Arabidopsis thaliana: one gene and its partners. The protein of the gene in region 3 purifies or fractionates together with the protein of the main gene of each other region. This does not show direct contact. Each region holds a gene or a part of one and is shown on either strand. Other genes may lie near its edges.

Evidence for each region.
Region 1: the proteins of CLPS3 (region 3) and FY purify together in Arabidopsis thaliana (affinity purification with western blotting, with the first as the bait; one study listed by BioGRID). This does not show direct contact.
Region 2: the proteins of CLPS3 (region 3) and CPSF160 purify together in Arabidopsis thaliana (affinity purification with western blotting, with the first as the bait; one study listed by BioGRID). This does not show direct contact.
Region 4: the proteins of CLPS3 (region 3) and CPSF100 purify together in Arabidopsis thaliana (affinity purification with western blotting, with the first as the bait; one study listed by BioGRID). This does not show direct contact.

The regions. Positions count from the first base shown.
Region 1 is NC_003076.8:4,324,966-4,334,079, forward strand, and holds FY (Transducin/WD40 repeat-like superfamily protein), read right to left. Parts: upstream 7,007-9,114; 5' UTR 6,663-7,006; exon of another isoform or gene 6,593-6,662; coding exon of another isoform or gene 6,557-6,592; coding exon 6,469-6,556; intron 6,389-6,468; coding exon 6,297-6,388; intron 6,088-6,296; coding exon 5,950-6,087; intron 5,872-5,949; coding exon 5,767-5,871; intron 5,621-5,766; coding exon 5,525-5,620; intron 5,421-5,524; coding exon 5,338-5,420; intron 5,225-5,337; coding exon 5,153-5,224; intron 5,082-5,152; coding exon 4,984-5,081; intron 4,666-4,983; coding exon 4,606-4,665; intron 4,497-4,605; coding exon 4,436-4,496; intron 4,347-4,435; coding exon 4,259-4,346; intron 4,144-4,258; coding exon 4,080-4,143; intron 3,830-4,079; coding exon 3,751-3,829; intron 3,529-3,750; coding exon 3,439-3,528; intron 3,314-3,438; coding exon 3,231-3,313; intron 2,754-3,230; coding exon 2,305-2,753; intron 2,153-2,304; coding exon 1,982-2,152; coding exon of another isoform or gene 1,964-1,981; exon of another isoform or gene 1,814-1,963; intron 1,733-1,813; and 4 more.
Region 2 is NC_003076.8:20,977,194-20,983,473, forward strand, and holds the start of CPSF160 (cleavage and polyadenylation specificity factor 160), read left to right. Parts: upstream 1-2,811; 5' UTR 2,812-3,056; coding exon 3,057-3,388; intron 3,389-3,477; coding exon 3,478-3,624; intron 3,625-3,956; coding exon 3,957-4,110; intron 4,111-4,217; coding exon 4,218-4,353; intron 4,354-4,694; coding exon 4,695-4,840; intron 4,841-5,164; coding exon 5,165-5,260; intron 5,261-5,376; coding exon 5,377-5,429; intron 5,430-5,607; coding exon 5,608-5,739; intron 5,740-5,847; coding exon 5,848-5,899; intron 5,900-5,992; coding exon 5,993-6,112; intron 6,113-6,201; coding exon 6,202-6,280. Other genes in the region: YLS7 (trichome birefringence-like protein (DUF828)), read right to left, coding at 1-185; AT5G51650 (uncharacterized protein), read right to left, coding at 1,010-1,207, 1,250-1,630, 2,015-2,056. UniProt on the Arabidopsis thaliana protein: CPSF plays a key role in pre-mRNA 3'-end formation, recognizing the AAUAAA signal sequence and interacting with poly(A)polymerase and other factors to bring about cleavage and poly(A) addition.
Region 3 is NC_003074.8:1,268,691-1,275,594, reverse strand, and holds CLPS3 (CLP-similar protein 3), read left to right. Parts: upstream 1-2,590; 5' UTR 2,591-2,790; exon of another isoform or gene 2,791-3,071; 5' UTR 3,072-3,179; coding exon 3,180-3,401; intron 3,402-3,881; coding exon 3,882-3,950; intron 3,951-4,031; coding exon 4,032-4,127; intron 4,128-4,212; coding exon 4,213-4,454; intron 4,455-4,539; coding exon 4,540-4,678; intron 4,679-4,786; coding exon 4,787-4,978; intron 4,979-5,065; coding exon 5,066-5,304; intron 5,305-5,406; coding exon 5,407-5,542; 3' UTR 5,543-5,834; downstream 5,835-6,904. Other genes in the region: ANX1 (Malectin/receptor-like protein kinase family protein), read left to right, coding at 1-2,209. UniProt on the Arabidopsis thaliana protein: Required for endonucleolytic cleavage during polyadenylation-dependent pre-mRNA 3'-end formation. Functions in gametophyte, embryo and postembryotic development.
Region 4 is NC_003076.8:8,049,925-8,059,428, reverse strand, and holds CPSF100 (cleavage and polyadenylation specificity factor 100), read right to left. Parts: upstream 6,991-9,504; 5' UTR 6,880-6,990; coding exon 6,731-6,879; intron 6,653-6,730; coding exon 6,484-6,652; intron 6,406-6,483; coding exon 6,309-6,405; intron 6,107-6,308; coding exon 5,980-6,106; intron 5,879-5,979; coding exon 5,760-5,878; intron 5,657-5,759; coding exon 5,562-5,656; intron 5,479-5,561; coding exon 5,327-5,478; intron 5,242-5,326; coding exon 5,184-5,241; intron 5,038-5,183; coding exon 4,930-5,037; intron 4,050-4,929; coding exon 3,806-4,049; intron 3,439-3,805; coding exon 3,254-3,438; intron 2,878-3,253; coding exon 2,785-2,877; intron 2,236-2,784; coding exon 2,137-2,235; intron 2,050-2,136; coding exon 1,918-2,049; intron 1,829-1,917; coding exon 1,784-1,828; intron 1,702-1,783; coding exon 1,456-1,701; intron 1,384-1,455; coding exon 1,282-1,383; 3' UTR 964-1,281; downstream 1-963. Other genes in the region: AT5G23890 (GPI-anchored adhesin-like protein), read right to left, coding at 361-640; AT5G23870 (Pectinacetylesterase family protein), read left to right, coding at 9,430-9,504. UniProt on the Arabidopsis thaliana protein: CPSF plays a key role in pre-mRNA 3'-end formation, recognizing the AAUAAA signal sequence and interacting with poly(A)polymerase and other factors to bring about cleavage and poly(A) addition. Required for antisense-RNA-mediated gene silencing.

The DNA of each region.
Region 1 (9,114 bases), on a different chromosome or scaffold from region 3:
ATTTGGCTGTTGTTTACTGCTTCGGGTTCCTTATGGGTCTCTTGGGTTCGGTTGCATCTAATCGGCCGTAGGAACTTTTGGAATCTTAATCCCTATCTCTCGGGCAGCTGGGTTTGGAGGAAGCTCTGTAAACTTAGAGAAGTTGCTCGTCCTTTTGTTATTTGCGAAGTTGGTTCAGGAATCACTGCTAGCTTTTGGCAGGATAACTGGACAGGTCATGGACCGCTTATACACTTAACGGGGTTGACCGGTCCTCAGCTGGTTGGGCTTTCCATTACCTCTGTTGTCAGGGACGCCATTAGGAACGATGACTGGTGGATTGCCTCTAGTAGAAGCAGGAATCCGGTTATTCTTCTTCTGAAATCTCTTCTTCCTCCTGTTGGGAATTTGGTTGATTGTGAGCATGATGACTCTTATCTTTGGAAAGTAGGTGATCGGGTGCCTTCTTCAAAGTTTTCTACAGCGGATACTTGGAGAGCTCTCCAACCGTTCTCTGTCTCAGTCTCTTGGCACAAGGCAGTTTGGTTTACAAATCAGGTTCCTAAGCATGCTTTCATCTCATGGGTAACTGCTTGGAATAGGCTACACACTCGGGACAGGTTAAGAAGTTGGGGGCTCCTTGTTCATGCTGAGTGTGTTCTGTGTAACTTGGTCGATGAAACTCGGGACCATCTCTTCTTTGCTTGTAGGTTCAGCTCAAGAATTTGGACCTTCTTTATGAGGGCGGTTGGATTTTCGCCGCCTCCTCAGTTCATGAATTGCTTGCTGTGGCTTAATTCGGCTACAAGGGACAAGAATCTAATGCTCATTATCAAGCTTCTCTTCCAAGCTTCTGTCTACTTTATTTGGAAAGAGCGTAATGCTCGTATTCAATTTGAAATCAGGCGGCCTTCTCATCTTATCACTAAGGAAATTCAGATGGTGATAAGGGCTCGGTTGGATCCTCTCTCTCGCTCCCGCGCTCCTGGGAGATCCGGACTCTCGCTTTTGGGTTCTTGGTTTTCTCTCTTCCTCAATAGAGATCCTCCTCAAGTCTGATGCTTTCTCCTTGTGCAGGTTTTCAAAGGGTCGGGCTTTGGTGTTCTAGCTCCTTCGCCGTCTGCTGTGGTGGCTTGGGTCTTCTGGGCTTCTGCCTTTGATCTAGCCTTTTAAACTTGTATTTGGTTGTTTTTTGTTCTTTCAGGCCTGCGTGCTGTGTTGGCCTTTTGGCTTTGTATTGCAACTTTTTTTGGTTAATTGGAAATTTATGAAAAAAAAAAAAAAAAAAAAAAAAGTTTGTCGGGTTAACGAAAACTAGAGTATTTGACATGTGAAGCCACTAAAACTTCGTAACTTGTTCACATTAAGTATCAAAACTAGAGTATTATGACTGTGGTCACTTAACATAAAATATATGAATTTAATTATTAAAAATACAAAAAAGACATGTGCCATAAATCATAGTATTTCATCAATACTTTCTCCACATGGAAGTTGTTACTATGCTCAAATATTTTACGGGTGCAAAAAATTCTAATACAAATTATTTGCATATTGGAACAGAACAAAAACCTTTTTTTTTTATGTTTTGTTTTATAGAAACGAAATTTGAATCCCATATAATAGTTTTACTTCAATCGTTTTATCCCGCAGACAGTGCGGTTGTAAACTAATGTACTAATACAACGGCTGCCTACTGATGTTGCTGATTGTTGTTTGGTGGAGGGCCAGGAGGTAAAGGTGGCTGCTGCTGCTGCACGAAATAAAATATAGACAACGGATTAGTCAACGGATTATGCTATTTTAGCTCTACATTTTCAACATCTAATCATACCATTGAACCTAGCTAGTGAGTTTAAAACTAGCTGAGAAAGTTGTATTGTGGTTCAATCGTATCAGGTGTTTTGCATTGTTGTGTAGACATTTTGCCTATTTGCACATATATACATGTGAAACCTTTACGGGTATACTAAATAACAAAAGACTAGTGTTTAAATGGGACCTGTTGGAAAGGGTTGTTGTAGCCTGGAATCATCTGTGGACGGTTGAAACCACCACGTCCTTGGGGATACATTTGGGGTCCGCCACTGTTTGGTTGTCCTTGAAATACTCCTGAAGGAGCACCCATAAAATGACTTTGCGACATCTGAGGATTCATGCCACCTTGCATTCCCTACTCCAACAACAAGTGAGGATTAATATCTCTTTCTACACCTCTCTAAGATATCACTAAGAAAATAAAACAAAGAGGAATCCAACACATGGGGTACCGACAAAAGCCAGGCTTAAGTTGTGGTTGAATTACAAGAGATCTGAGGGCCATACCATTGATCCAGGCATCTGATGAGACATAGGCATTGAGGGAGGTGGCATGTGACCGTGAGGAGGCATTTGCATAGGCCGGGGAAGATGATGAGGGTGCAATGGCATATGAGATGATGGTGGTAGCTGATGGTGAGGCATATTGGGCATTGGAAGCATTTGCTGGGGATGACCTTGGTGTTGTTGTTGTTGCTGATACCCTTGCTGCTGGCCACTTCCAAGAAGCGATGGGTGGGGACCAGGTGGCAAAGGAGGAGCCCCCAGTGCCATGGAACCTGGAAGAGGCTGTTTATGATCCCCTTGAGAGGATGCATCAAATGGCATTGCTATTCCTATTCCTGGGATAGTCCCCTCGTTCCGTGTCAACCCAGGCACAAATGCTCCAGGGATTGGCGATGCCTCAGATGGTTGGAAATTATCAGGTTGGCGACCAAAACCTTGTTCATTATAGCCTGATACAAATTACGCTTATCAGTACACACAAATCACATCTTCAATTTGTTAGTAAACACTAAATAAAAAACACTAATTTCTGACAAATGCAACTTGAAAGTACATGCTCAAAATTAAAACAGTAAGTGAGATACTAATGACCGAGTACTTGGGTCTGAGTTTTTAAAGCCTGTAGAAATCTGCACCTATATCAGATCAGCTCAGCTTGACCAGTCAAGTCTGTTCTTTTCTACAAAAAAATTCAGTTAATCACGGTGCCATATGGCTGGCCGAGCCTGAACCTTAAAAAGCCAAGGTCCATTTCGAACCAGCCATTATAGGAGTATATGACTGACCCTGCCAGGGCCTGACCAGTTAAGCCTATCACAACATCCTTACTACTGAGATGGATAAGGACATAGTAATTATGTACTACCCACAACCTATCCATCCCAATGCCTACTAAAAAATCAGATACTAATAGCCCAAAAACAAACCTTGGTTCTGCATAAGAACATCTCGGGGATTATCTGCAGGCCTGTTTCTGCACCAAAACTTGGTTGTGTGATCATTGCTACCACTGCAGATAATAGGGTTAAAAATCATTATCTGAAGCATTTAGTTATTCAAGAGCACAGGGAACCACAACACATCATAGAATAAAACTGTAAGGAACTCATAGCACCAGACTATTGAAATTGCTACCTGCAAAGAAGATATCCAATAGGATGCCATGCAAGATCCCAAACACTGTTATCATGAGCATTTGGGATTTCAATCTGCGGGTTTTCATGCCTGGGAATTAAGAAAAGTTTTCATAATTAGATACACCTCAAACAAAAACCACAAAATATAAGGTAAAGTAAGATGCTACTAGACTACTAGTATGTAGATGCATCATGACTGAATATAAAATGTAGAGAAGAAACATGATTTAAAAAACCCTTATAAGTGATTAAAACAATAGCAGCATGAACGAATAAATAAAACAGCATACTGCTGCACAACAGTACCTACCCCACAATCCAATGACAAATGGAGCCGTCAGAGCTCCCACTGACAAAATATTCTTCATGGCAGGGATGCCACGCCAAAGCTTAAAAAGAGTTAAGACAACTTTTAATTAGAAATAGTTGCAAATTAGAAATATCGAAGAAACAAATTGAAAACTCGCATCCATGGGATAATGTCTCATATGTCGACAAGTAAAGCATGGGTACAATGATAATCTTTCAAAGGCATATACTCTAGAGTCCTAGTCAATGTACAGAAAAGTAATTTGATGCGGCCAGTTTGTCTGATTTCACGTGTTTAAAACATGATCATTATAGAATTTGACAGCTTACATGTTACATCTTTCGTGTGCCCACGAAAGGATTGAAGCTCCTTCATAGTCCTTATATCATACAGCTGCAGATTACATGCATAAGTGTCATACAAATGCTTCCATAATGCAAGGAAAAAATCTCATTTACAAATCAATATCCCCCCCCCCCCCCCCCACCCAAAAGAAAGTGAGACTTACCTTAATTATCTGATCTTTCGAGGCCGTTAAAAGCCAATTGCCATTTTGGTTCCACTTCACGCTAAGTACTATGTTTTTGTGACCATGGCTGCAGAAGTAAGAATAGGCCATCAAATTCGTCAAAGCTTTGAACATGAAACTATAATAAAATTACATATTACATTATGTACTACTTACAGTGAGCAAAGCTCTCTCCCAGATCTAGTATCCCAGAGTTTGACAAGTTGGTCTTTTCCACCTGACAACACAGATTAAAGCGGTTAATGATCAGCCATAGAGAAGCTCTGAAATATACAGCGGTTTCTTTTTATTGCATTATTCAAATAGAAGTCTATAAAATAATGTACCAGAAACTAGTAGGGACTTTGTGGGGTGCCAGTCAACGCTCTTGACATCCCAACCATGGCCTGCCTGAGTTCAAAATATAAAGAACCCTTTGATTACTTCGAAAGTTCTCAAATATTACAAATATGAAGAAAACTGTGAAAACATGCCTCCAAAAGGATAGGAAACTTGTTATAAGCACCAATTTGGAACCTTTAAAACTAACTAACGTTACATGGCATGACACCAAAGCGAATCTCAATGACACCTTTTCCTATGTAGCCTAAGAATCCAATTCTAATAACGTACAGCACATCTCAAGCGGCCTTCTAAATTCAAATTAGAAGAGCAAGCAACAAAGAAATAAAGTATCTGCCGCCAATCTGTTCAAATAACATTACCGGTTAATGAGCTTTCATCTACGCACTTGGTAAAATCCCAGACTTTAACAGTCGTATCATCAGAACACGAACAGAACTTCAAATCTGTTTTACAAAAACTGTTGGATACACATTGTTCAGTTTTGAGAGATTCATTTAATGCAATTCAACATATCAAACTTTTTTTTACCTTAAATCGCGAATTGATTCCTTGTGAGCAGTTTTATTGGCTTTCACATTGTTCATATTGTTCTGCCAATACCTGATACATAAGAAACAATTGATCCTTATTGTCACAGCATTTGAATCATAGAATTCTGAGCTTCTCGTTTACAACATCATAAGTTAGGGACTGAAAGGGAAAAACAAATTTACTTTAATGTGCCTCCATCATCACCAGAAACCATATAATTTTCATTGTGGCTCCATACCATCGACCTAATAGGTTGATCATGTGCCTGATATTGACAACAAATTTAAACAGTCAATACCAGGAGCAGCAACTATAGAAGAATCAAAACAGAAGTTTCAACAGATTAGTTATACAATCTGAGAAACGAACCTGAAGAATCATTTCAAAATTAAAAGATTGCCCATTCCAAAGAGTAAACTCCCCACTTTGGGAGCCCGTGATAAGACGTCTTCCTGAAGGTGTCCACTAAATAAAAGAAACCCAATCAGCAATGATCCCATTAAGTTGGCATAATAGAGTTAAAACAAAGAAAGAAAGATGTTGCTTTCTTGAATAGATAAACATGGCAAACAGAGAATAATACAAAACACACAGCTGGTAGAGGGATATACCAATACACGGTTGATTGAACAACGGTTCTTGTTTAGAGATGCGTGAACAAACTTTGCAGCAAAGCTTGTTGAAGGATTATCCGAATAGGCAACTGTGGGAAGCATCTGAAGCATTGATATAAAAGTTAGATCAGTAAACCATTCAATCTTATTGCAAAACCCAGAAAAGCAAAGAAATCTAACATCAACTGCTGCAGCTGGGGTTGGTTGCAGAGTGGTCCTATCCCTTGAGTCTCGCTGCCATGTTCGAGCCTGAACAAAAACATATATGGAGTAAACACTCTCTACTTTTAGTTCCATATAAAGTATGAGTTCGTTGAACTACATATCCATATCAGTTCCATGACATAAAGACAATCCTATCTAATGGCTTTTGAGATAAAAAGGACCGAAGAATTCAACTGGGGAAAGCAGAGGCTATGAGTATATAGACCAAGACTAAAACTTTACAGAAAACAAGAGAAATATAATCAAGCAGTACAAAAGGTTCTAACAAAGAAATACTGTGAGCAGCAATGGGAATACATTACCTGAATATATCTAACAACGGTGCTGGTGTAATCAACAGCTCTTCTCTGTGTATGCTTTCTCATTCGTTTCGCCCCAAAACTGTCTACATTGGCTGCAACATCAGACAGAGAGACATTAAATCTCACAGTCATCACTAATCCGATAAAAGGAAGACGCTCAAAGTCTACTTACGGTCGAAGGGGCCAGATGGGTGGTGGTAGTCGGGATTGATGTTAGTGGAAGAAGCTGACGACTGCCGCATCATCGGTGGTTGTGGCATCTGTGAACCCCTGTGCATATCGCCGCCGGCGTACATTGTTGCCCACGGAGAACAGTGATTTATTCGAATCGAAGGGAAACTGCGAAAGTGTTCGAATTTAGGTTACCTTGAAACGAGCGTGGATCTCTCTTTAGGGTGTGCGTGTATCAAATTCGCGAATTGATGACAACCCAAGAGCAGAGAAGTACAATGGGTAGAGAAATGATGAGAAGTCGATAATGGAGTGAAGAGTAGAAATAAATCTTAGGGTTTTTTTTTCTTCCTTCTCGGCAAGCCAAACCCTCGATCGCCGGTCGGTTTTAACCGATAAGATTAATAAAATCATCAAACTAATCAAGAAGTCGATTGGTTTAGCTTTTTTAATCTCCACGATTTTTTTATTTTTTTTTTTATTTTTTTTTTTTTGGGTGTATGTTGTTACTTGGCCTACCCTATCAATTAGACACATATGTTCAGGCTGAACTATGTATTGCGAGTAGGAAATAACGGATGAGTTTGTTTAGTAAACCCATCCGTCGGCCTTCCGGTTGATCAACAAGCTCGAGGAGTGTATCTTAAGCAACTAACCGCGAGATGGCATGAAAAAGATCTGAAGAACTGTTGAGATCAACGAGATTCTAGGGTGGATACTGCGGATCGGGCAGGACACGTGAAGGACGACTATAAAAGAAAGAGGAAGAAGAATGAATAGAGGCATCGCCATTAACATTAAGAAAATCCTAGTATTGTATTCACATCGAACTCTAATGTCCCAAAGTGTGGTTTTTTCTAGTATTGTTGTTGTTTTACTGCTTATTTCACAATCATGACAGAGTGTGTGTATGAATTGTAGATGAAAACACACACATAATTCACGTATTCATAGTGGAACATATTGAATAAATATTCAACCCAAAGATAGTGGTGATGCAAATTAGTCTTTTTTTTTAAAACATTAAAATAACTAAATATTTGAAAGAGTTAAAAGTAAAAGAAAAAAAAACTGACACTAGTAAAACGAATTACAAAAATTCAGAAAATGTTACAATCTTTTTTTTTTTGGTTTAATGTTAAATTAAATGTTATAATCTTGTCATATTAGAACTTAAAATCTCCCAAATAACAAAAAAAAAAAAAAATCGATATACGTTATTCCAAACAAGATTCACTACATCCCAATGGCAATGCTATATGAAACACAATCCCAATCCGCTATTATATTCCACTACGAAACTTAATCATGTTAAAACCCTGTTTTGCACTTATAGAGTATAAATAGACTATGTTAACAGGTTTCAACATTTTTTTTTTTTTGGTTTAATGTTAAGATTTATACCAAATGAAAAAAGGTTTACATAGTACAATGAAACCCCAAAAACACACCGAGCTCTTGTGAAGAGAGACTAATGGAACACCATACATACATAAATATGAGCTTTGCCACACCTATAGTGGGGTACTAATACAACCAAAGTAGAATCCAAGGAGAGAGATAGTGGTAACTGATTCCTCCGGCGAGAAGGAGATGAGACGGTTACGCATTGTGCGATCAACGAGAATTTTTGTAGCGGAGAGAGAGGTAGCATCTGCTGAGAAATCTCTGCGGTTGCGCTCTTTCCAAATCATATAAACAGCGGTTTGAAGAAGAAGTTTTAAGATCTTACTTGCATAGTGCGGCGGAGAAGAATGTACACCAAGAACCCACATAGAAGCCAAGGGTAAAGAGAGTGGAGGATTCGGCGAAATCCTTCCAGCGAGCGAAATCCAAAGTGATCTAGAAAACTCACATTTGAAGAACAAGTGATCATGGGAATCAAGGCCAGAATCACACAGAACACAAGAACCATGTACATTCATACCCCACTGTAAAAGCCTATCTCTCGTTGTCAACCTTTCATGGGAAGCCATCCAAAGGATAAATGAAAACCTTGGGACAGATTCCTTAAACCAGACAGCTTTATGCCAAGCCACATGAGGAGAAATTTGTCTAATTTGCATCCAAGTTCCTTTCGAAGAGAATGTTTCAGAAAAAGTACCTGTGGGCTGCTTCCATTGGTACCAATCAGCACCTCTTAAAGGAGAAGGCGGGGCAACCGAGGACAAGCAAATCTGCAACTGCTCAGCTTGGTGAGATCTCGCATTGGGAAAATGCCATTGACCTTCATGTGTAGCTTCCCAAACGCTAGCATTTCTACTGATCCGAAGCTCTCTTGGGCCCAACTGACCAAAAAGCTCAATAAGGGGACCAAGGCTTGTCCAATAATCAAACCAGAAAGAGGCTTTCATACCGTCTCGCATCTGACATTTAATCAATCTCTGGAACACAGATTTTACTTCCAACATCTTCCTAATGTTCCAAGATAGACGTGGTGTGCTATCCATCAACCAATAGTTCCTTCTTCCGAAGATGTTATGGTCCAACCACATAACCCACAATGAGCCCCTTCTAGTAAAGAGGTGCCAAACCTGTTTCAACCTGAAAACAGTAGCAAATTCCTCAAGAGATCGAATACCTAACCCACCCTCCTCTTTTGTCTTACAAATGTCCTTCCAAGCAACTCTTGCACCTCTTGCAGACG
Region 2 (6,280 bases), on a different chromosome or scaffold from region 3:
GTGGTCTCTGTTCTGTAGAAATAGTCAGTAACAGAGGAACCAATGGGATACGTGAAAAGAAGCAGAGAAGCGAAGATGACGAAAGAAGTTAATCCACCAATAGCAAATGCAATTGAAGAAACTTTTCGAGGAAACAACAACACAGTCGTCTTTGAATTTGAAACTCGTGGAGAAGCCAAAGTCATGATTTTTCTGCACAAAACCTATAAAAAAAAACAGAGCAATCATTCATTGATGGATTACATATCTAACTGGGTTCCGCTAAATCACAATAAAGTTTCGATTTTTACAATTTGTTTACTAATCTCTATTAGGTGAAAAAAGGAATCAATAAGAGAAAAACTTACATTTAGAATTGAAAACGAGACAAGGACGATCGAAGAAGCTTTTGCTTTGGAGAGGAATAAATAAATCGACAAGATCTGGGAGTTTGAGAGAGAAGCGTGGAAGGAAGAACAATGTTATGAATTGTTAAAGTCAAACTTATTTTAGTCAAAAAAAAAAAAAACTAAACAATTTAGGAGTTTTTTATTTTTCTTCTTTTGAAGTTATTTTTGATTTGGTTATTGTGTATGATATTATAATTCATATAATTATTACGGTTATATTTCATAATTAGTTTAATCGTGTATGTTCAACTTTTTTAATTGAACTAGATTATTAGTTAAACTAAATCGAATTACGATTGGTTAGACTGTTAGATTTTTATTAAATCAAATTTAACTTGAAAATAAATCAAAATCTTCACTCTTCATTTTGATTAAACTAAACAAAAAATAAACTAAACAATTTAGGAGTTTTTTCTTTTTTCTTTTTTGAAGTTTTTTATTGATTTGGTCATTTTGCATGATATTATAATTATTACGGTTATATTTCATAATTAGTTTAATCGTGTATGTCCAACTTTTTTAATTGAACTAGATTATTAGTTAAACTAAACCGAACTACATTTGGTTAGACTATTAGATTTTTATTATATCAAACTTAACTTGAAAATAAATCAAAATCCTCACTCTCGATTAACAATAAACGTTTTCCCTTTCTTCCCCTTCTTGCGCTTGTTCTTTTCAAGCTTCTTCTCCTTCATCAACTTTTCAATAAACTCATCGTTCTTTTTCTCAAACTCTCTCAGAAGTTTCTTAAGTTGCTGCTTGTCGTTTGCCAGTTTCCTTAAATCTGCAGTAGTTAGTTTGATTTTACTTCCAAACTTGATTCACAGAGAAATAAGCTTCCTTATGTCATTCTCCACGTCATCCTCCTCCTCCTCTTTCTTCTTGTCCTTCTTCTTCTCCTTGAGATCCCAGATAATGCCAACTTCTTCTTCAAGGATTTTTGTATCAAAGTAGTCATTTTCGTTACCAGGTGCAGAAACAGTCCACTTGGAGTAGTTGATAAGGTCACGTTCAAGGTTAAAGTGATGAATGGCATATGTGTATGCAACAGACACAGATCCATCCTTTTCCCATGAGACATGAGCCTCTTCTTTCTCCTTCTCCACAAGAACCTTTTCAACTCCCTCTTCTTTCCCTTGAGCTTCAAGTCCCTCTTTCCTCTCCTGAACCACACGTTGAACTCCTTTGGCCACTAAAGGATGCCAAAAATCCTCGAAAAGGAATCGAGGCTTTGGAGCCTAAGAGAGTATCTCTTTGTGAATAGTTTTAACAAGCACAGTGTAAAAATTTTCTTCCTTGACATTTTTTCTTCTGGTAATGAGAAATAAGATAAAAATTTGGAGAAAAAGAGGATGAAGCAGAAGAAGAAGTATGTAAAAAGAGTAGTTATAGGTGGTTAAACTTAAAGCTATCATTGTTGTCGTCTTGTATGGGGGAGGAACACTCAAAATCGTTTCACAGAGACTTGCAGGAGGTTTCTTATTTTATGAGGACAAGAGGTGAGAAGTAGAGGAAGCCCAAAGTTGGTTATTTTCCTTTTCAAGATTTTTCAACAATTAATAAGAAATATTATATGAACGTATCTTTAAATCAATTAATTATTAGCATTTGTTTTCATAAACCTTATAAGGCATCCCCTTGTTCTCCAAAACAATTACTGTCATCCTCTTTCTAAGTGAAAATTATATTTTTTTTTATCGTCTCTAAGTTGTTTAAGGGGTTAAAATACTAATTACAAAAACACAATCTAAAACATAAATAATAAATACGTTTATCTCTTACATATTTTTGCTGAGATTTTTTTATTAGAAGTATAAAGATTTTTGGGGAAATTTGATACTAAGGATCTTTTTTAGAACTAAAAAGGAAAACAAAAATATTTTACAAAATGATATATTTCGATATATAAAGTTTTAATGCAGTAATGAAACTCAAAATGATTGATAACACTTTCTAATACTTTTATGTTGCAAAAACAAAATCATGGTGCAAAATCCACTACTTTTATGTTGTAGTATATTTCTAGAAGAAATTTGGTTTCATGGTATATATTGGGTATTAAATAAAGATTGGACTATCTTCCCTTTGGCTTTGGTGTGTCATAGATAGTGATAAGAAATACCTCTTTTTTTGGGCATTATTTGTTGACAAACGATATAGAAAATTATAAACAAAATAAAGATCATTGGAAAAACATCATTTGACCAAAGATGTGTATATGTGTCCCAATCAGAAAGTTCATAACAAGTTCCTCTCTTCTCTTCTCAATTCTTATGCATCCACATCATCATTGATTTAATGCTTTTAAAAACAGAACATTACATTTATTTTTTTAAAAATGTATTACTTTTTGGACAATACAAGTTTGATACATATAACGGATTTCGCAAAATATTTCATGTTCTTTTTGCAAACAAATAATCCCCAAAAAAAACTAAAGGAAAAGAAATTCGTAAAGACCAAACTCGTAATAAAGAGTATATACTGTTTCCCCTTAAAAAAAAAAACCAACCTAAAATTAAAACCCGTGGGTTTAAGGATTTGATCTTTTAATGTTCACAAAATCGAGACCCTAAATTGCTCTCACACTCACTTCCCAATCTTCTTAGTTCAATTTCAATTTTTAGAATTAGAATCTCTGAATCCCAGATTCCGGTAGAGAAGATGAGTTTCGCGGCCTATAAGATGATGCATTGGCCTACCGGCGTCGAGAACTGTGCTTCCGGCTATATCACCCACTCTCTCTCCGATTCAACGCTACAGATTCCGATTGTTTCCGTTCATGATGATATTGAAGCTGAGTGGCCTAATCCTAAACGAGGTATTGGTCCTTTGCCCAACGTCGTTATAACCGCCGCAAATATCCTTGAGGTGTACATCGTTAGGGCTCAAGAGGAAGGGAATACTCAGGAGCTGAGGAATCCGAAGCTTGCTAAGCGTGGTGGAGTTATGGATGGTGTCTATGGTGTTTCTCTCGAGCTCGTGTGCCATTATAGGTACGTGTTTGTTGACAATTACCTCCTAAATTACTCCAATTTTGGTACTTTGACTTTGAAGTGACGATGTGATTGGTATTGGATTGTAGGTTGCACGGTAATGTTGAGTCAATTGCGGTTCTTCCTATGGGAGGTGGTAATTCTTCTAAGGGAAGAGATTCGATTATATTGACATTTCGCGACGCCAAAATTTCAGTTCTTGAGTTTGATGATTCAATTCACAGCCTTAGGATGACGTAAGAGTGTTTTGCTTTTGTTGGTTTTGGTAAATAAATAAATGAATTCAGCTTTAGTTTCAGCTCTGTCTCCTCTCAATTGTTTCTTTTGACCTATATACGAGATGTTCTGTGTCCAACTATTGTTTTAACTGTTTTATACTTCTCAAAGTTTTGGTCTTTACTTACGCATTGTTATTGTTTCTAGCGATGCAAGTTACGTAGTATTGGATCATATACTGAAGCGTTCTATTGTCTATGTCTGATTGTTTCTTCTAGTTATCTAATTTATGTACCATTGACTCCTATACATGACTTCAACAAATAATAATGGATATGTGGTTCCTTTTCAGTTCGATGCATTGTTTTGAGGGTCCAGATTGGCTTCATCTGAAAAGAGGAAGAGAGTCTTTTCCAAGAGGCCCTTTGGTAAAAGTGGATCCTCAAGGCAGATGTGGCGGCGTTCTTGTTTATGGTTTGCAGATGATCATACTCAAGACTTCCCAGGTTTTTGTTTTGGCATTATTAATCAACTTCATCTTAACTGTCGCTTTATCTGCTACAAATTTCCAACCTTCATTCTTTTCTTTTATGAACTTTATTTTGGGTTTTAGGTTGGTTCTGGACTAGTTGGAGATGATGATGCGTTCAGTTCTGGAGGGACAGTTTCTGCTCGAGTTGAATCATCTTACATAATTAACTTGCGTGATCTGGAAATGAAACACGTCAAAGATTTTGTTTTTCTACATGGTAGGTTTAGCAAGCAAGGTTTCTTCATAAACTTATCTCTGAATCAGTAGTTAATCATAAATATATTATGATGATTGTTTCTTAGCTGCTCAACTTGCATCGAATCTTGTGTCCTTGAATGGATCTAGCTTACTAAGTTGTTGTTTGTAGATTCAATACGACAACTGATGTATTCTGGTCATGATTACAGTTTGAAACAAGAGGAAATGTATTGTTTCTTTGATTTTTCAATAACTAGCTGTCTGAAATTTTAGATATTCTAGTTTTCCCAGTAGGCATAAAGAATAAACTAAGTGGTGCTTCTTTTGATTATGTGTTTTTGCATCCTGTGTCTTCTTCAGGTTATATTGAGCCTGTAATTGTCATCCTTCAGGAAGAAGAGCATACTTGGGCTGGGCGAGTTTCATGGAAGCACCATACTTGCGTGCTTTCTGCCCTTAGTATCAATTCGACATTAAAACAACACCCAGTCATCTGGTCAGCTATTGTATGTTCGTATTTTCCTCTTTGTATCTTATAATAGATCTCTTCCCAAGAAATTAAATATTTGAGTTGCACTATTAACTATATTGTAAGCTAAGGGTAGAAATTGAAGTCATCTAAAAGGTTATTGAATATCCACTGTTGTTACATGACTAGACTTTCCAATCAGCTATGACGATGCTCTATTTTTTGTTTAGAATGCTCAAAGAGTTGATCTTTCTTTAGGAAAAATTTCCTAAAATAACAAGCTATTTCATGACTGAAATAGTTACTTCGGCAAACGTTAGTCCCTGATCATACTTATTCCCATTCTTTTGGTATTTTCCAGAATCTGCCCCATGATGCCTACAAACTACTTGCAGTACCATCTCCGATCGGAGGTGTTCTTGTGTTGTGTGCAAATACAATCCATTATCATAGTCAGGTAGTTTTATATTACTTAGCTTTTGGTTGTTTCTTGTTTAAAATTCAACAATTCCAGCCACTCCACCTCAAAGTTCTACAGTTACTCACACATCTGGATACCATATATATTTGTAGTCAGCCTCCTGTGCTCTGGCACTGAACAATTATGCCTCCTCAGCTGATAGCAGGTACAGTTTTCTCGCACCTCCCCACTCTTCAAAACCTGCTTCATGCTTATGGATATAATCTTGTTACCTCAGTCTTAGTTTAGAATCCTAAAGCTTAGAATCAACTTTCAACATTTGTAAAACTCTGTTTATACTGTTAACCACATTTCTATCTCTGTGTGCGTCTGATTTCTTTCAGTCAAGAACTGCCTGCATCAAATTTCAGTGTGGAGCTTGATGCTGCCCATGGAACCTGGATATCGAACGATGTGGCCCTATTGTCGACAAAATCTGGGGAATTGTTGCTGCTGACTCTTATATATGATGGGCGGTAGTATTTTGATCTTCTTTAAAAAAAAATCTTCTGACGCTTGTAAAGCTGGCTGCAACTTATTTTGTTTAAAATATGTGAAACTGACTGCTACTTTCTTTTTTGAAGTGCTGTACAGAGACTTGATCTTTCCAAATCAAAAGCCTCTGTGCTTGCTTCGGTTAGTCAATATGTTCTTTCAGCATATTTGTACTTCAATTTGGATCCTGTTCGATTAGAGATTCCCTATGATGATATACCAAATTTCTTGCAGGACATTACTAGTGTTGGAAATTCCCTTTTCTTTTTAGGTAGCCGGTTGGGAGACAGTTTACTGGTGCAATTTTCCTGTAGATCTGGGCCTGCAGCATCATTACCTGGCTTGAGAGATGAGGTGATAGTTTAATCTTTCTTAGGCTGGTCAGAGTAACTTCTTTTTAAAATTGTTAATCCAGAACTTGAAAATTTCCTAAATTTATGCAGGATGAAGACATTGAAGGTGAGGGTCATCAAGCAAAACGTTTGAGGATGACTTCTGATACTTTCCAAGATACAATTGGAA
Region 3 (6,904 bases):
TTCCAACTCGTATTTCACTGTGGAAGCTAACGATGTTACCTTACTGAGCAATTTCAGCGCCGCGATTACGTGTCAAGCTTTGACTCAAGCTTATCTGGTTAAAGAATACTCTCTTGCACCCACTGACAAAGATGTTTTGAGCATCAAGTTTACCCCTTCAGATAAATACCGAGACGCATTTGCCTTTATAAACGGTATCGAGGTGATTCAGATGCCGGAATTGTTTGACACGGCGGCTCTTGTTGGTTTCACAGACCAAACAATGGATGCCAAGACTGCGAATCTTCAGTCAATGTTTAGACTTAATGTTGGTGGTCAGGACATCCCTGGAAGCCAAGACTCCGGTGGGTTGACAAGAACTTGGTATAATGATGCACCTTACATCTTTAGTGCGGGTCTTGGTGTTACACTTCAAGCAAGCAACAATTTTAGGATCAACTACCAGAACATGCCGGTGTCTATAGCTCCAGCCGATATATACAAAACCGCAAGATCTCAAGGCCCAAACGGAGATATCAACCTCAAATCCAATCTTACATGGATGTTCCAAATCGATAAGAACTTCACCTACATTTTGAGACTCCATTTCTGCGAATTCCAGCTTTCCAAGATCAACCAGAAGGTTTTCAACATTTACATCAATAACAGAACAGCGCAGGCAGATACTACTCCTGCAGATATAATAGGGTGGACAGGAGAGAAAGGAATCCCGATGTACAAAGACTACGCGATATATGTTGATGCCAACAACGGAGGCGAAGAGATTACACTTCAGATGACTCCATCAACTTTTGGTCAACCGGAATATTATGATTCATCTCTTAACGGGTTAGAGATTTTCAAGATGGACACCATGAAAAATCTTGCGGGTCCAAACCCCGAGCCATCGCCTATGCAAGCTGAGGAAGAGGTTAAAAAAGAATTCAAGAACGAAAAGAGACACGCTTTCATCATTGGTTCGGCCGGAGGAGTTTTAGCGGTTTTAATCGGTGCCTTGTGTTTCACGGCCTACAAGAAGAAACAAGGATATCAAGGAGGCGACTCTCACACATCAAGTTGGCTTCCTATATATGGAAACTCTACCACATCAGGAACCAAATCAACCATCTCAGGGAAGAGCAACAATGGAAGTCACCTATCCAATCTCGCAGCAGGTTTATGCCGTAGATTCTCTTTACCAGAAATCAAACACGGAACACAAAACTTCGATGATTCCAACGTCATTGGAGTTGGAGGGTTTGGTAAAGTCTACAAAGGAGTTATAGACGGCACAACTAAAGTAGCGGTAAAAAAATCAAACCCAAATTCAGAACAAGGACTCAACGAATTCGAGACAGAAATCGAACTCCTCTCAAGACTAAGACACAAACACTTAGTCTCCTTGATAGGATACTGCGACGAGGGAGGAGAAATGTGTCTCGTATACGATTACATGGCATTTGGAACACTCCGTGAGCATCTATACAACACAAAGAAACCACAATTAACTTGGAAACGAAGGCTAGAGATAGCTATTGGAGCAGCAAGAGGATTACATTACCTTCACACAGGAGCAAAGTACACGATTATACACAGAGACGTTAAAACAACTAACATCCTCGTAGATGAGAACTGGGTAGCCAAAGTTTCAGACTTTGGGTTATCCAAAACTGGACCTAACATGAATGGAGGCCATGTAACAACCGTCGTCAAAGGAAGCTTCGGTTATTTAGATCCTGAATACTTCAGAAGACAACAACTGACTGAGAAATCAGACGTTTACTCATTCGGAGTTGTTCTGTTCGAAATCTTATGCGCAAGACCAGCGTTAAACCCGAGTTTGCCTAAGGAACAAGTGAGTCTCGGAGACTGGGCAATGAATTGCAAACGAAAAGGGAATTTAGAGGATATAATCGATCCGAATCTGAAAGGGAAGATCAATGCAGAGTGTTTGAAGAAATTTGCAGACACGGCGGAGAAGTGTCTTAACGATAGTGGATTAGAACGGCCGACAATGGGAGATGTTTTGTGGAATCTCGAATTCGCACTTCAGCTTCAAGAGACTGCTGACGGGACTCGTCATCGGACTCCGAATAATGGAGGAAGCTCTGAGGATCTCGGTAGAGGAGGCATGGCGGTTAACGTCGCCGGTAGAGATGATGTGAGTGATCTCTCCTCAGAGGACAATACCGAAATATTCTCTCAGATTGTAAATCCCAAAGGACGATAAGGTAATTTCGCAATACGTATACTAATTTTGTTTTTCTTCTCTTAATTTTGGTGTTAAAGTTTTTGTTTTTGTGTTAATTGCAGGATTAGAAAAGGAATCTGGGTAACAAAATTTGAAGATGATTTCATTTATATTGAGTGGTATTTTTCAATAAAAACATTTGTAAAATTATATCCCTTTGTGATGTTACATGTAATCAAAAATACATTGTATTAAGATTCGTAGTTAGAATTTTTCTATGGTAAATTTTTGTATTAAGTTATATTTTACTGAGTTTATTAAGCTAGAAACAAATTATTATATTAACCGGAAAACTGTATAGTAGAAAAATGGAAAAGGTTGTTCAGGTCGGTTAACGGCTCAAACCGGGATTAATTCGTTTTCCAATTTTGCCTTAATCGAAAAAATGGAAATTACAGCGATATAAACCTAAAGTAAATTGATTTCGTAAGTCGAATTCACTGTTTCTCCTCAAACACACACACACGTTTGCGAATCTCCGACGTCCGTTTCTCCTCGCCGTAGAATCGCCGTTCATTCTTTCGCCGCCTTCAGTCTTCCCTCCATTGACCCTTTTTTTGGTAATTCGTCTTCTTTTTGCTCTCTCGTTCTCTCTTTTTCGATTTCTGGGTACAGAAATCGATGGCTCTCGTTTTTCTTTCTCTGTTGCTGTTCTATTACTTTCTCTTATATATATATGATTGTTACTCTAGTGATGAATTTTGATACATTGGTTGTTTGAAATTGATCTCTGTTGTGCTTTTATAATTCCGGGGTCAAGATTGGCTGTTTAAATCTAGTAAAGTTTGCATTTTTCTTTTCTGTTTGCAGAGATTAACTTGATTATACTTTTGTTTTTAAGAAGAAGAAGAGCGATTACAAGCGCAAGTGTGTATAATGACTTAAAGAGAGCTCCTGTTACTCCGAGTGATAGATAGTCTACAATTATATCTTACTCTGAGTGAAAGCAATGGCGTACGGTGGTCCGTCCATGAATCCACCGGCTTTGAGTGGAGCTGTTCCCGGGTCTGCTAATCTGAAGCAAGTGAAATTGGAGAGAGAAAGCGAGCTCAGGATCGAAGTCTCTGAAGAGCCTCTCAGACTCCGTGTGGTTAACGGGACCGCTGAGATTTTTGGCTCTGAACTGCCTCCTGAAATATGGCGTACCTTCCCTCCTCGCATGAAATTTGCGGTATGTGTTTTCTTAATCCTTGGTTTTTAGAGCGATCGTAAGCATTATGCTTTATGGCTTATAGATAAAATGTAGCTTGTTGGTAACATATTTGGTGTTGGGTTTGTTGGTAGAAAATAACTAGCCATTCTTGATTTAGTTTCTTTTAGTGGTTATCTTTCTTAAAGTGGGTTCTTGAGTTACTATTGAATTCACCCTCTGGCCTTTTGGGGTTGGAAAGGTACATCCTTTGCCAGTGAAGTTTGAGGGTTTTTGGGTTTGAGTTGGATGAAAGACTTATGATTTAGGTTGTAAATGAAGATTATGCTGTCTAGGTAAGAATTGTTAAGTGGGTTGTATAAAAAGATTGATGATAGATGTGATTTTCCCCCCCAATTTCTTTCTTTTCTATTTTTCCTTCTGCTAATGATTTATGTAAAGTTCATAATCGGAGCTCTGAAACACCGTGCTTACCATCTTGTGCCTTTTGATTATTGTCAGGTTTTCACTTGGTATGGAGCGACAATTGAGATGGATGGTGTCACGGAAACTGACTATACAGCAGATGAGGTTGGATTACTTGTTTCATTCCTACGCTTGCTTTAAATATGTAGAGCAAATTTTGTTTACTAACTACATCTCTGTTTCCAGACGCCGATGGTCAGCTACATTAATGTGCATGCCATACTAGATGCAAGGAGACGTTTTGCCAAAGCTTCCACATCTAATGACCCAGAATCTTCTCAGGTACTTTTCTTCGATATTCAATATTATTGTATTGCAATATCAGCATAGTTAAAACACTTGGTTCTTAAGAATTCACTTAATGCAGGGACCTCGGGTTATTGTAGTAGGGCCTACGGATTCCGGGAAGAGCACATTGACAAAGATGCTCCTTAGTTGGGCAGCTAAACAGGGATGGAGACCTACATTTGTAGACCTTGATGTTGGCCAAGGCTCGATTACAATACCAGGATCTATTGCTGCTGCCCCTATTGAAATGCCACTGGATCCAGTTGAAGGGTTTCCTCTTGATATGGCCCTTGTTTACTACTACGGCCACGCATCACCAAAGTAAGTGATTCTCAAATTTCTCCTACCCATCATACGTTATTCCCCTCGATGAGGAATTTAAATATGTCTACTTTGGCTCTCTCAGTATGAACGTTGAACTGTACAAAGCTCTGGTGAAAGAGCTTGCTCAAGTTCTGGAGAAACAGTTTGTCGGAAACCCTGAATCGCGAGCTGCTGGAATGGTGATCAACACAATGGGATGGATCGAGGGGATTGGTTATGAGGTAAAAGTTAGATCCTTTTTAGCGTATTTTTTGGTATAGTTAGCTCCTTCTTAGTGGATTTCATTATGCAAATGCCTGATAAAGAACTGTATCTGCTTCGTCTTGCAGCTGCTTCTCCACGCAATAGACACATTCAATGCCTCGGTTGTACTTGTATTGGGTCAGGAAAAACTCTTCAGCAGGCTTAAAGATGTGCTGAGAAGTAAGAGTAATGTCGACGTCGTGAAGCTTCACAAGTCTGGTGGAGTTGTAGCCAGGGTCAAAGAGGTCCGTAAAAGATCAAGGAACTTTAAGATTCAGGTAAAATTTTCAATCTCAAATCTTTTAATATCCCTTTTTTCATGCCTTTGGAGGTGTAACTCAGAACTCAAAAACTGAATTTTCCAGGAATATTTTTACGGTTTATCGAAAGAACTCTCTCCGTATGCCAATACATCGAGTTTCAGTGATCTGCAAGTGTTCCGAATTGGTGGTGGACCACAAGCGCCAAAATCGGCTCTTCCAGCCGGGTCTACCTCGGTTTCAAATCCGTTGCGGGTGACGCCTGTAAATATCGATGATCGGGATCTGCTGCATTCTGTTCTTGCTGTCTCATACGCAGAAGAACCAGACCAGATCATCTCAAGGTAATCTCTAAAAGTTCTTGCTGTTTCCAGAATCAAAGGCTTTCGTGTATGTTTTCTTCGTGATTTTGATATTTCTTTCTCTCTGTTTTTTCTTTGATACAGCAATGTTTCTGGGTTTGTGTATGTGACGGAAGTTAATGTGCAGAAGAAGAAGATAACGTATTTAGCACCATCGCCTGGGACATTACCTAGCAAGTTGTTGGTCGCTGGATCATTGGCATGGCTTGAGTCAGTATGACTTACTTAGAGAAGAGAGGAGCCATGTTTTTTGCTTGAGAGAATGATGCAGCAGCTCGATTATGTAACGTTAATTACAAATAGCCTTTTTCTTCTTTATCAAATGCACAAGTTTTTGAGTTTAAAAGATCATTATTGCGGAATAGATGGTTGGTTGTAATTTGATGTTATGAAGTGAGCAAAAAATAATGTTGATTTACTAGTGCGTTAGTTCTGTTTGTTTGGTTCAGCATATTCAAGTGATGTGTGTAGCATTTTTAAATTTGATAGGTCGAACATATCTTATGTTATTGGATGATTTCGAAATAGTATATGATAATGTTCAAAGTCACACATGTATTATTATTGGTTATTAATTCAACTAAATTACTATCACATTTTAAGTCACTTCAATTGTATTGTTGTATAAGCTCTGTATTTAGAATCGGATCCGAAGAATATTAGTTGGTCTGTCTAACCAAGTCGCATTAATCTTATATGATTCTCCTAGAATAGAAAAGAATATTTTATTCTTATGCTAATTCAATTGAAAGATAATTAAAACGGATATGTTTTGAGTTCAAAATGTTAAAATTGTCATTCATTTGCAATAGACAAAACATATTTAGAAAATTCTAAATTTACATGCTACAAGATCTTCTATATGCTTTAATAGCCTCATTTTTTTTTTTAACCCTGCACATTAAATACAGAAAATTTCAATCATTTGACTGATGATTAGAGATTTATAGATATAAGAAGAAAGTTTCACTTATCATTGTGAATATGATAAAACAAGAATAATAAAAATATCGTATAATTAACAACAAGAACAACAAACACAAAAAAAAAAACAGAAAGAAAGAAAACAAAAAAGAGCTAGTCAACAATCGTGATTCGTGATACAACGTGCTAGAGAGACGACCAGATGAGATAGGGCACGTGTCGAAATCTATACCGTTACTTTTCTAACTCCGTGCTCGGAATTCGAAATCAACGGGAGACACGTGGGTTCCACAATGGACGTTATTTCCATTTCATGACAATCGAGAAATAGTTAAATAAAAAATAAAAAATATTTTCTAAAATGAATACAAAATCAATTCGAATTTTGCTTTGGAATTAGAATCATTTTTAAAACATATGAATATAGTAGTACAAGAATTTTACTGAGTCAATGTCCAATTATCATTAAAGATATTTGACTCTAATCCATTCTCTTTCTCTAATTTTTCTTTAAAGATATTATAGTTAATCACATCATTTACTTTAAGAGAAAGATATCCGAAAATCAGAAAATGTTAAGATACATTATCTAATTTCCTTTAATTGATACGGTTTATGATTTTAATCAATTTTCTATTTGTACGAAAAACAGTAGGTA
Region 4 (9,504 bases), on a different chromosome or scaffold from region 3:
ACAGCTTCAGAACAGAGAAATCAAAATGCTAAAGAGACTTAACCAAACTCCAACGTAACATGCAATGTACCATTTGAGTATGTGCGCTGTTTAGCGAACCTCTCAATAACAATTGACCACAAAAACAAATCGGCGTATACGGTTCATCAACTCAATCTAAAGATTATGTGTAGTACATCCATAAGAAAACAACACTCATGGCTCCTACCAAATTACACTTGTAAACTATGCAGCCATATAGTTTTAGCTTCATTGTGTAATCAAACATTTCACCAGCTGGTTCTTACGAAACCTCGAAAACTCCGAATCACACTGAAAAATAAAATCAGAATCCAAAAACAGATGTTCATCCGCATATACCTTCAATCAAACTCTTCTTCTTAACTCTGGAAGACTTCTTGTCATCGTTATCGGAATCATCCCACCCAGCCAAATTATCAGCCGACGACTTTGACGAATCCGATCCGGTCCACGCATCAACTTCAGGCTTCTGCGAAACACAGACAATTCCATAACCCGATTTCCTAGCCAATCGCGATGGTCGTAAGTAAACGGCGGGAGATTTCCGACGCACGCCGGAGCTCAAAGCGAGACGAAGCTGGAGGGAGGTAGGTGTCCACGTGGCGGTCGCAGAAGCCATGGTTTGATTGTAGAGAGAGTAAGAGAGGATAAGAAAATATGAAGAGAATCGTCAGTAGAAGAATGGTAGAGGAGGATTAGGGTTTAATTGGAATTAAAGTAATTGTATCAAATGTATTCTGTGTTTTTGGTTGGTTTCGTTACAGAATATTGCACAAAGGGAGAGCGTTGGACAGTGATCAGCCTCACACTAACACACCTAACCACCTAATTGCTTTTATTTATCTTTCCATGTTTAACACATATGGTTGGTTTAATTCACAAGTGAAAAAAAAAAGCTAGATGCCACGTCAGCACGAAGCCAAGACCAGGTGTTGAAAGCTCTTGAATGGAAAGTGTTTTCGCTTTCATTTTAAACTTTTGAGAGAACATACAAGGAACAAAGAAGAGAGTTTATCACGTTTTACTGTTTTAGTTTACCGCTTTACCGAAATAGGAGTGGAATATATCCAATGACAACTTAAGCTTCTACTAAGATGACAAGTACAAAAAAGTTACAAAAAGCTATTGCCATTTTTAACACATTAATCTATAAGATTTGAGGGTTATAAGCAAGGCAATAAACTATACGAGATTACATGTTGAGTGGTTGAAAAATGTTGAGAAAATGAGAAGAAGCTTCATTTTTTTTCTATATCATGCTCAGAGGAGGTAGAACTGAGAATAGAGATAATCCCTGATTTTGTAATAGTCTTCACACAACGGTCCTTCTATCAGAATTTGCTGTGGACCCGATGCTCCTCCCTGAACAATCCCCAACATATATAAGTCATTCTCTGATTTGTTGTAAGAAATGCAGTATTTGCTTTGAATTACCTTTTGACCCGTCGGTCCAACCTTTCGTAGAGTGACATATTCACCACAACGTAAAGCTCCTCCACCTGCAAATTCTACCTGAACACCCTTGCTCGACAGAAACTGCTTGAAGTCTGCGATTTTCAGATCACCTACTAGAACAGGTTTGTGTGGCGAAGCAGCACCTGGCATCGGTAGTAGAGACCTCATGTCCCTCTCTGTCTTCCCTACTTCGGAATCCACCCAAGCTACTTCTGAATCTCCCAGCTGATATTATTTCATCATTCTTCAGAGACATTGGTTGCAAATCGGAAAAGAAGAAAAAAATAGTCACGGAAATAAAAGGTACCTTCTTGAAGATCACATTGCTCATCAGCTTTTCAGAAAGTTGGACCTGATGTATCACCATACAGGGTTAATTCAATCACACAACTCAAAACCCATGAGTTAAAAAGGATCTTCCTAATTCTAAGTAATTTCTACCTTGTAAGCACATAAATCAGAAGTCACATCGACCGTTTCCTCTATTTGAGGAGCATACACGTGTGGACAGATGTTGTTCAAGCAGTGTTGCTTCAAATGCTCTGTAGCCTCAGCTATCGCGTGCACCAAAACCTTCACATGATATATAGTATTAGATCACCGCAAGTTTCCAGTTCAGTGCTTAACACTATATATATATAAGACGAGAGAGAAACGTACAAGTTTTAAAGGAGAAACATGCGCAATCATTGACTTGATTGAGCGGCCATCTGACCGACCTTCATAGTCCATTTTAACAAGTGAACAACTAACAGTCACCTGTGCAAAAGCATAAGAACAAACTAAATCATTTATCAGGGAAATTAGACAGCAGTTAGGTATAGACAGAAGAAGACTAAAGAGCCATATTGTTTTGTTTAGCAGGCAAGGCCTACGTTCTGAGAATAACCTTCTGAAACTTCTACATGACATAAGATCAAGTGGGTAAAAGTAAGAACACAAAAGTTGTTCAATAACAAGAAGAAAATTAGACCGATTAATCCAAACAACAAAATATCTGTAAGTTGAATTATCGTGCTAAAGATCTGATTAGCAAGGTCTCCCGTGATAACTAATTAGAAGATCAATTAATAAATTTCTTGTATGCATATCATCAGATGAAGATAAATTTGACAGGCACAACGCCATGTCAATGAGAATTCCTATCTCTCTATTTCTAAGTGAGAAGACTACTCCTTGTGCCTATCATTGATAAGCAGTCTATAACAATAATCAGAGATTCTAGAAAGGGAGAACAAATGAGGACATTAACTGAGACAAAATCTCTATCAATGTATTGTTCTTTGGATATAATTAGAGTCTACTTACAATGAGCTCATTGGACATGACTTTCGAAGGTCTTGTATCAAGCATGAGACTAGCAGTTGCCTCATCAAGCCTTCCGTCCACATCACCTCCGTTCTGAAATGGAAAATTATATCACAAATTTAATAAGCAACACAAGACTCTACATAGAATGACCCTAAACCTTTACTAGTAAGCAATCAGTTGTTAAGGAAAATATAAAGATGGAACTGTAGAACCAGTGCACTCATTTGAAGAACTGCACTCATACCAAATCAAGAGCCTAAGCAACTTTATGGCAAAAGATTTCCTATCTGTATCCCAAATCCTCAGAGCATATCATGCAGATTTCTTACATCTTTGTTCTTCTTGATACAAAAATCGTAAAAGGAACCACCACTATGCAAACATCATGGAAATTAAGAGGTCTAATTTGCAAATATAACAAGAGCTAAGAAAGACCAAGACCAAGACCAGAATTCAAGGAACGTACATGCATTGCTCCTCGGTCCATGTCTTCATCCTTGATCACATAGTCATCTGGATTAATAATCTCCCCAAAGTCGTCCCATTCAGATGTGTTATCATAATATGGGAACATTGGAGCTACGCTGCTGGATGGGGGAACAAATCCATCAATCAATATATCTTTATATGCAGGCCCGTGAGAACCAATAACTGCAAGAGTAGTCAGAAATGTAAAAGGTCAGTTGCAGACCACTATGTAGTGGAAAGAAGAGCAATCAACAACGGTAGCCAGAGGTCTAATTGAAACAGACACATATTGTGGGACTGTGAAAAACTAAACAAATTACCCAGAAATGTATTGTGAGACTTCTAAATGTAGCTTCTAGGTCACTCAAGATAACCACATAAATGCCTCCTAAAACCAACTAACCAGTACATTACAGAGGGTACTATGTGCATAGCCATTTTCAGTACTAGATACTTCAATTAAGTTAAAGTTTACATGAAAAATAAGAAGTTACAGGCCACAGAATATTCAAGGGTAATAAAATGTTATATAAAATAAGAAAAAATTTACCATCGTGAGTAGTCTTGGTATCTATGATCATAGGTTCACTTGAATTATCATCGGATCCATGGGAAGCTTTTGTTTCCTCCTCTTTAACGAGGCTAGCTCGCAAAGCTTCTTCCCTTTTCAGTCTGTTTTGCTCTTCCTCATATGCAATTAACTCTTCCCCAGCCAAAGGAACCCTCTTAGACATGGTGACTTTAACAAATTTTGGAGGTGGGGCTGACTGAAGCATACGAGCTAAAGTGCCAAACTGCAAATAGAAGCAAATGACAATTAAAAATCAAACTAACAGCAGTTTAGTTTTATGTGATTGACTACAAACCGAAACATCTTGCAAATCTTAGATCACGTGAACTATGAATGGACACATGGAAAGTATAATCGCCATCGCAACTAAGGAACACGACCAATGGCAAAGGTAACAAATTGGATGAAGAACTTCGATAATTTCACTTGGATTTACGGTGTTACTGGTATTTCAAACTTAATAATTCCGTAATGCTCTGTTTTCTGGATAGATTGACATGGACAAGAAAGCATAGTCACACAGAACTGAGAAAAGCGTGAATAATTAACCAAAGCTTCCATTTGTTTCCAAACTATTTATTTGAATAAATTTATTTTTGTCTAGATTGAATTTTAATTAAAAGTATGATATTTCAGGGAACAGGATGATGTCTCGCTAGAAGAAAAATAAACAAAGTACGCGGTTACAAAAAAAAATTATGTTCATTTGAGATGAATGATATGGCCAATTAGACAGTTTGTGCATAGTGGTGTCAATTCCATTAATATGATAGTCTACTAAGACCCTTTATTTTGTACTGGATGTAACTAATTGATAAATTCAAGACTGAAAGCTCTGGAGATTATCCTAAAGGAGCAAGCCAGGCTTTGGTGGTAATTATAATGCTGCTTTAAGGTACTCAATCTCTGCCTATTGTGTACATATTGGGGGTAAATATCCACACATAAATGGGGGAACTCTTATTCAGATCAGAAGACAAAAAAGATTCTCATATATCCACTTAACTAGCTGATCAGCACTAGGAAAAGAATCTACCATCAGGTCTTTATAGCAATGCTAATAAATTTTCGTTCCTCAACGTATGTGGGTTCTAAAAACATACCTGGCCTGTTTCAGTAAAGAGGACTAAATTTCTGGGATCATTTGCCCACTCCACGAATATCTCTCGAGCAAAACCGGCTTCGAGACTAGCCATGGAAGCAAGAACAACCTATATTATGAGATTTAGTCACTACAACATATAATAGGAAAAAATCTAGTTCTATTATCAGCTGAAAAGACAGGAAATAATAATAAATCCACCACGTTCTATGTACTAACAAACACTAATGAGTTACTTATAATTTTATAAACAACCTTTGGACCAGGTGGAGCATTATCCAGATCAGTCTTGTTTATCAACAGAGTGACATGCCTGCATGTGTTTAAATTTCATGTGATGTCTTCTGTATTCTAAACAAACGACGGCACAAATAAGGCATTCTTATAAGAAAATCTACCTCAATAGAAAGGCATTATCACGTGAAGTCTCAAAGGACTTTGAAATGGAGTCACTCATCCACTCGAGGAAACTCTTAACATAGTCAATTGTGCTAGATGACACGTACGTGAGAAAATAAATGGGAAAGCTGAAACCTCTTTGTGACCAATGCTGCAGGTTTGATCAATATCCAGTCTTTAAAAAACAGCTGAACATTAACTAAGAGCATGATACATTCAAAGCGGTTCTATTACCTGTTCAAGTATCAAGAGAAGTTCCAGGACACGACCCGCAGTGTCTACTGGCAATAGAACATTTCCTCCAACTTCAAGATGTTTTGAAATGGTATCTGAATGATAAATGGGGACATGCACACATGTTTCTGGCAGTTAGAAGCGGGCTGTTTTAAATACTATAGAAGATACACAACACATATTGGGCTACAAGCTAACCTAGAAATTCTTTGTCCCTTTGCTGTCTTGCGGTTTGATTGGTATAAAGAGCATGATATGCATCGGTTATCAGAACAGCAGGCCGAACAAAAGACTGTAAAACAGTTCCATTCAAATGCCTGAATTAAGATATACAATTCAGTATCACGAGTCCACATCTTTACTTACTGTTATGAACATTACTCGAACTTCAAATAAGATAAAATCTGAACATATGTACCTTTCTTTCCGATGATTGTAGTCAACAGCATATATAACATCCTCCCCATCCTTTGTTATCCTCCAGATGCTACCTCCCAGCATGTGTCCAGCAACATGAGGAGCAATTACAATACCCTCTCCCTTTCCTGATAGGGCAACGATAAAACCTTGAGACATCCTAACAATCTTTGAAGTCATAACTTAGGTTTCAACAACCAAATACTCAATGTGTGTCAAAGAACTCCTTCCCGATATGAGATCATAGATAATGCAGATCAAACTTGCTTGAGATAAGTGTCAATTGTTTCTAGTTTGCTATAGAGCCTAGAAATCACTAAAACCACATACCAGAAAGATGGTAATTTTGAGAGTAAGTCAATCTGATCACATTCTGGAAAGCAGAATCTATGTCATCCAGTGTAAACAGATCAAAGTCGGATACTTGCTGCAACAGTAAGATCATCGTGTTACAATGCAGACAATTGCGCAAAAATAACCACTCCAGTAGTTAACAAAATCTCACCTTCCTGGACAAAAACTGATCATACATTGTAAGGAGACCTAATCTATGAACAGGCTCAGTAGCATAAACAGGAGCGGAGAGTCCAAGCTGCTTCATAGCATAAGGAAGAGCACCAATGTGAAGTGTATCTGGATGAGAAAGCAAAACTGCATCTATAGTAGAAGCAACCCTGTAAACCAGAAGAATCGAATTCAAAACAAATTAGATTGGTGAATTCTGGAAATGTAGATAATAAGGATAGAGAAACCTGGAGAGAGGTTCGAGGAGCGATGTGTCGAAGAGATCGTTCCAACCACAGTCGATGAGGAAGTTGAAACCATCAATGGAGACTAAGTAGGAGAGAGGATTCTCGTTGTAAACTCCGCAGAGAGGAGTCACTTGCACCGAAGTACCCATCTTTTCCGTTCGCCGATATAAACCCTAAAATTTCTCCGATGAACTAAAGAAGAAGAAGCCACCGTGAAAGAGGGTTTTTTAATTCTGTAATAATAACCTCCCCGGTCCATATATTTCCTTTTACTTCTAAAATAACCCTTTTCTTTTCAAATTGTTCATTTGGTACATATAATCTTTGAAATTTTTTCTCTCTTTACCTTGATTTTTTAACCAACACAAAGAGGGATTAGTGAATCTTTTACCAAAAAATGTTGTGGTAGCAGTGAAACATAGATGGTGAGTCCATTATAAGCATATGAGTCAATTCTATTGTATGTTCAAACTTCAAAGTAGATCGGTTTCATTATGATTGCTCATTCATTTAAAATTACATGAAACTTCATTCATTGTTTCAACATGAAAACATTAAACACACCCTTAAGGAAAAATAGGCAAATCTCCGTTAAATATACTAGAGTAAATCAAAAACTTTTAAGCAGTTGTACCAAATACACTAGATCTATGAGCATATGGTGCAACCAGAAGACCATTACAAGTTGATAAGAACTTACGCATAAACCTTTGTATTTATTATCCGTAAATCCCAATTACAATGAATCAAAACCCTATATTGATAAGATCGGAGTTACAATGCTCATCTCTTATCATCAAGAACATAGCACACAAGCCCTAATTCTCCTCACAACATCAATGATCACGCAGGATAATCTCTATAATTCCTCTCTAATATCCCTATTTATACTCTTTTATTCTTCTCATGCTTCTCTTTAGCTCTTCACACGTGCCTAATTCTCCCACATGTGTGCTCTCTTATCACTAATTAGTAAATGTTGCAACTAAAAGATCACTACAATGGTAAAAAAATGTTGGAAATCTCTTCTATGAAATAAGAGATATTAATGAATGAATTCACTTTCAGTTAATTTTGAATTAAACGTATTTGAATTCTGATATAGTATCGAAGTTCAGATCATTTGACATAGGTGTGTTGCGTAATACTTAATAATTCAATAGTTCGAGATGAACTATATATATCATTTGTTAGGAATATGATGGACAATAAGAAACAAGTAGCTGGTATGTTGATTGTGACGAATGATAAGTTCTTCCTGATTTTATTGATGCACGTTAGAAAGCCAAACAACATTTTGATTCAAAATTGTGATAGCTTCACTTCAAAGGCAACACAAAAAAAAAAAAAAAAAAAAAAAAAACATATGCATTTGGTGAAGGAGGACCCGTGAGGACCAAACCAAAATCATAATGGCTAAGGATAACAACCATAACTAACTATCAAACCTTTCTTTCTTGATATGAATATGAAAGTTGTAGTTAGGTAATAATAGGTTGATTAGTTAAAGAGTGTAAATAAATGTAATTATTATACTTGTTTTCATAAGAAAAATGACCAGAGAGATTGAAGACAATTGTTTGTGTGTGTTTTTTTTTGGTTCTTTAAAGATAGATTAAGAAGATTCGGTGAACCTAAACCAAAAGACACCTAAGAATGTGATTTTCGATTCTAATTCATCAGCTGGTGACCCACCCATCAAGACCCATCTCCATACTTAGAAAAATATCTAAAAATACAATACATTTTTTATAAATAAATAAAAAGAAAGTATCAAAATATGGTTATTCTTGCAAAAAAAAAAACTTTTTTTTAATCATTTGTTTTTTGTTTTTTGGCCTTATCTACGCCCTATGCTGTCTACTGCACATAACTAAACTTAGCTCTCGTGTGAAACTGATAAGTAGTAGTGTAGAACTGTTTTTGTGAGCCTGTGGCTGTCACTGAAATTTGTTTTTAATACCAATACAGAAATTGGATTTCAATACATTTACAGATTGAAAATTCTTACAAAAACATAAACAATGAATTTACAATGGTGGACCACAGTAGAATTACAAGGAAATATTTACTAAACGAAAATAGAAATCTGAATGTATAGAGGGAAATGAATCTTTTAGCTCAACAGAAAAATTTCATCTATTTTTAAAGCTAAAGTTCTTAAGGAAGAAAATATCATGTGGACTTTATATTTCTAATAAATAAATTAATGTAAACAATAACAAATCAAAGATTATTTTTTTGGGTCAGATATGTCTCTCTTTACACACATACACATGAAAAATAAGTGAGTCTCTCCATGTGGTGAATTATACATACATATTTATGCATAGATATGATATGAGTTTTTTTTTTAAAGATGATAAGAGATTTCTAACAATTGGTAACAACAATCAATCTTTTTCATAGAAAGGAAAACAAATTGTAAGATGGCAAAAACTTCTTTGTGCCTATCAATATCATAAATCTCTCTCTTTCTCTTACCTCTTTGCCAACTTGACCTCTCCTTTCCCTTTCTTCTCCAAATGAATTACTTTCCACAAAATCTTTATTATCTATAAATACTATAAACCTTTCCATTTCCCTCTTAAATCCCCAAATCAATTATTTTCCTTTGATACAACAGGCATAGAACTCAACGACGCCGTTTTCATTCCCAGTCTCCTTCTTTCACCATTGAAGCGTCCAAAACTGTAACAATGAAGACGACGACTCGGCTCCTCGATCTAACAGCGGCTATGGTTCTAGTTGTCTACGTGTCTTTCTCTCCTCCG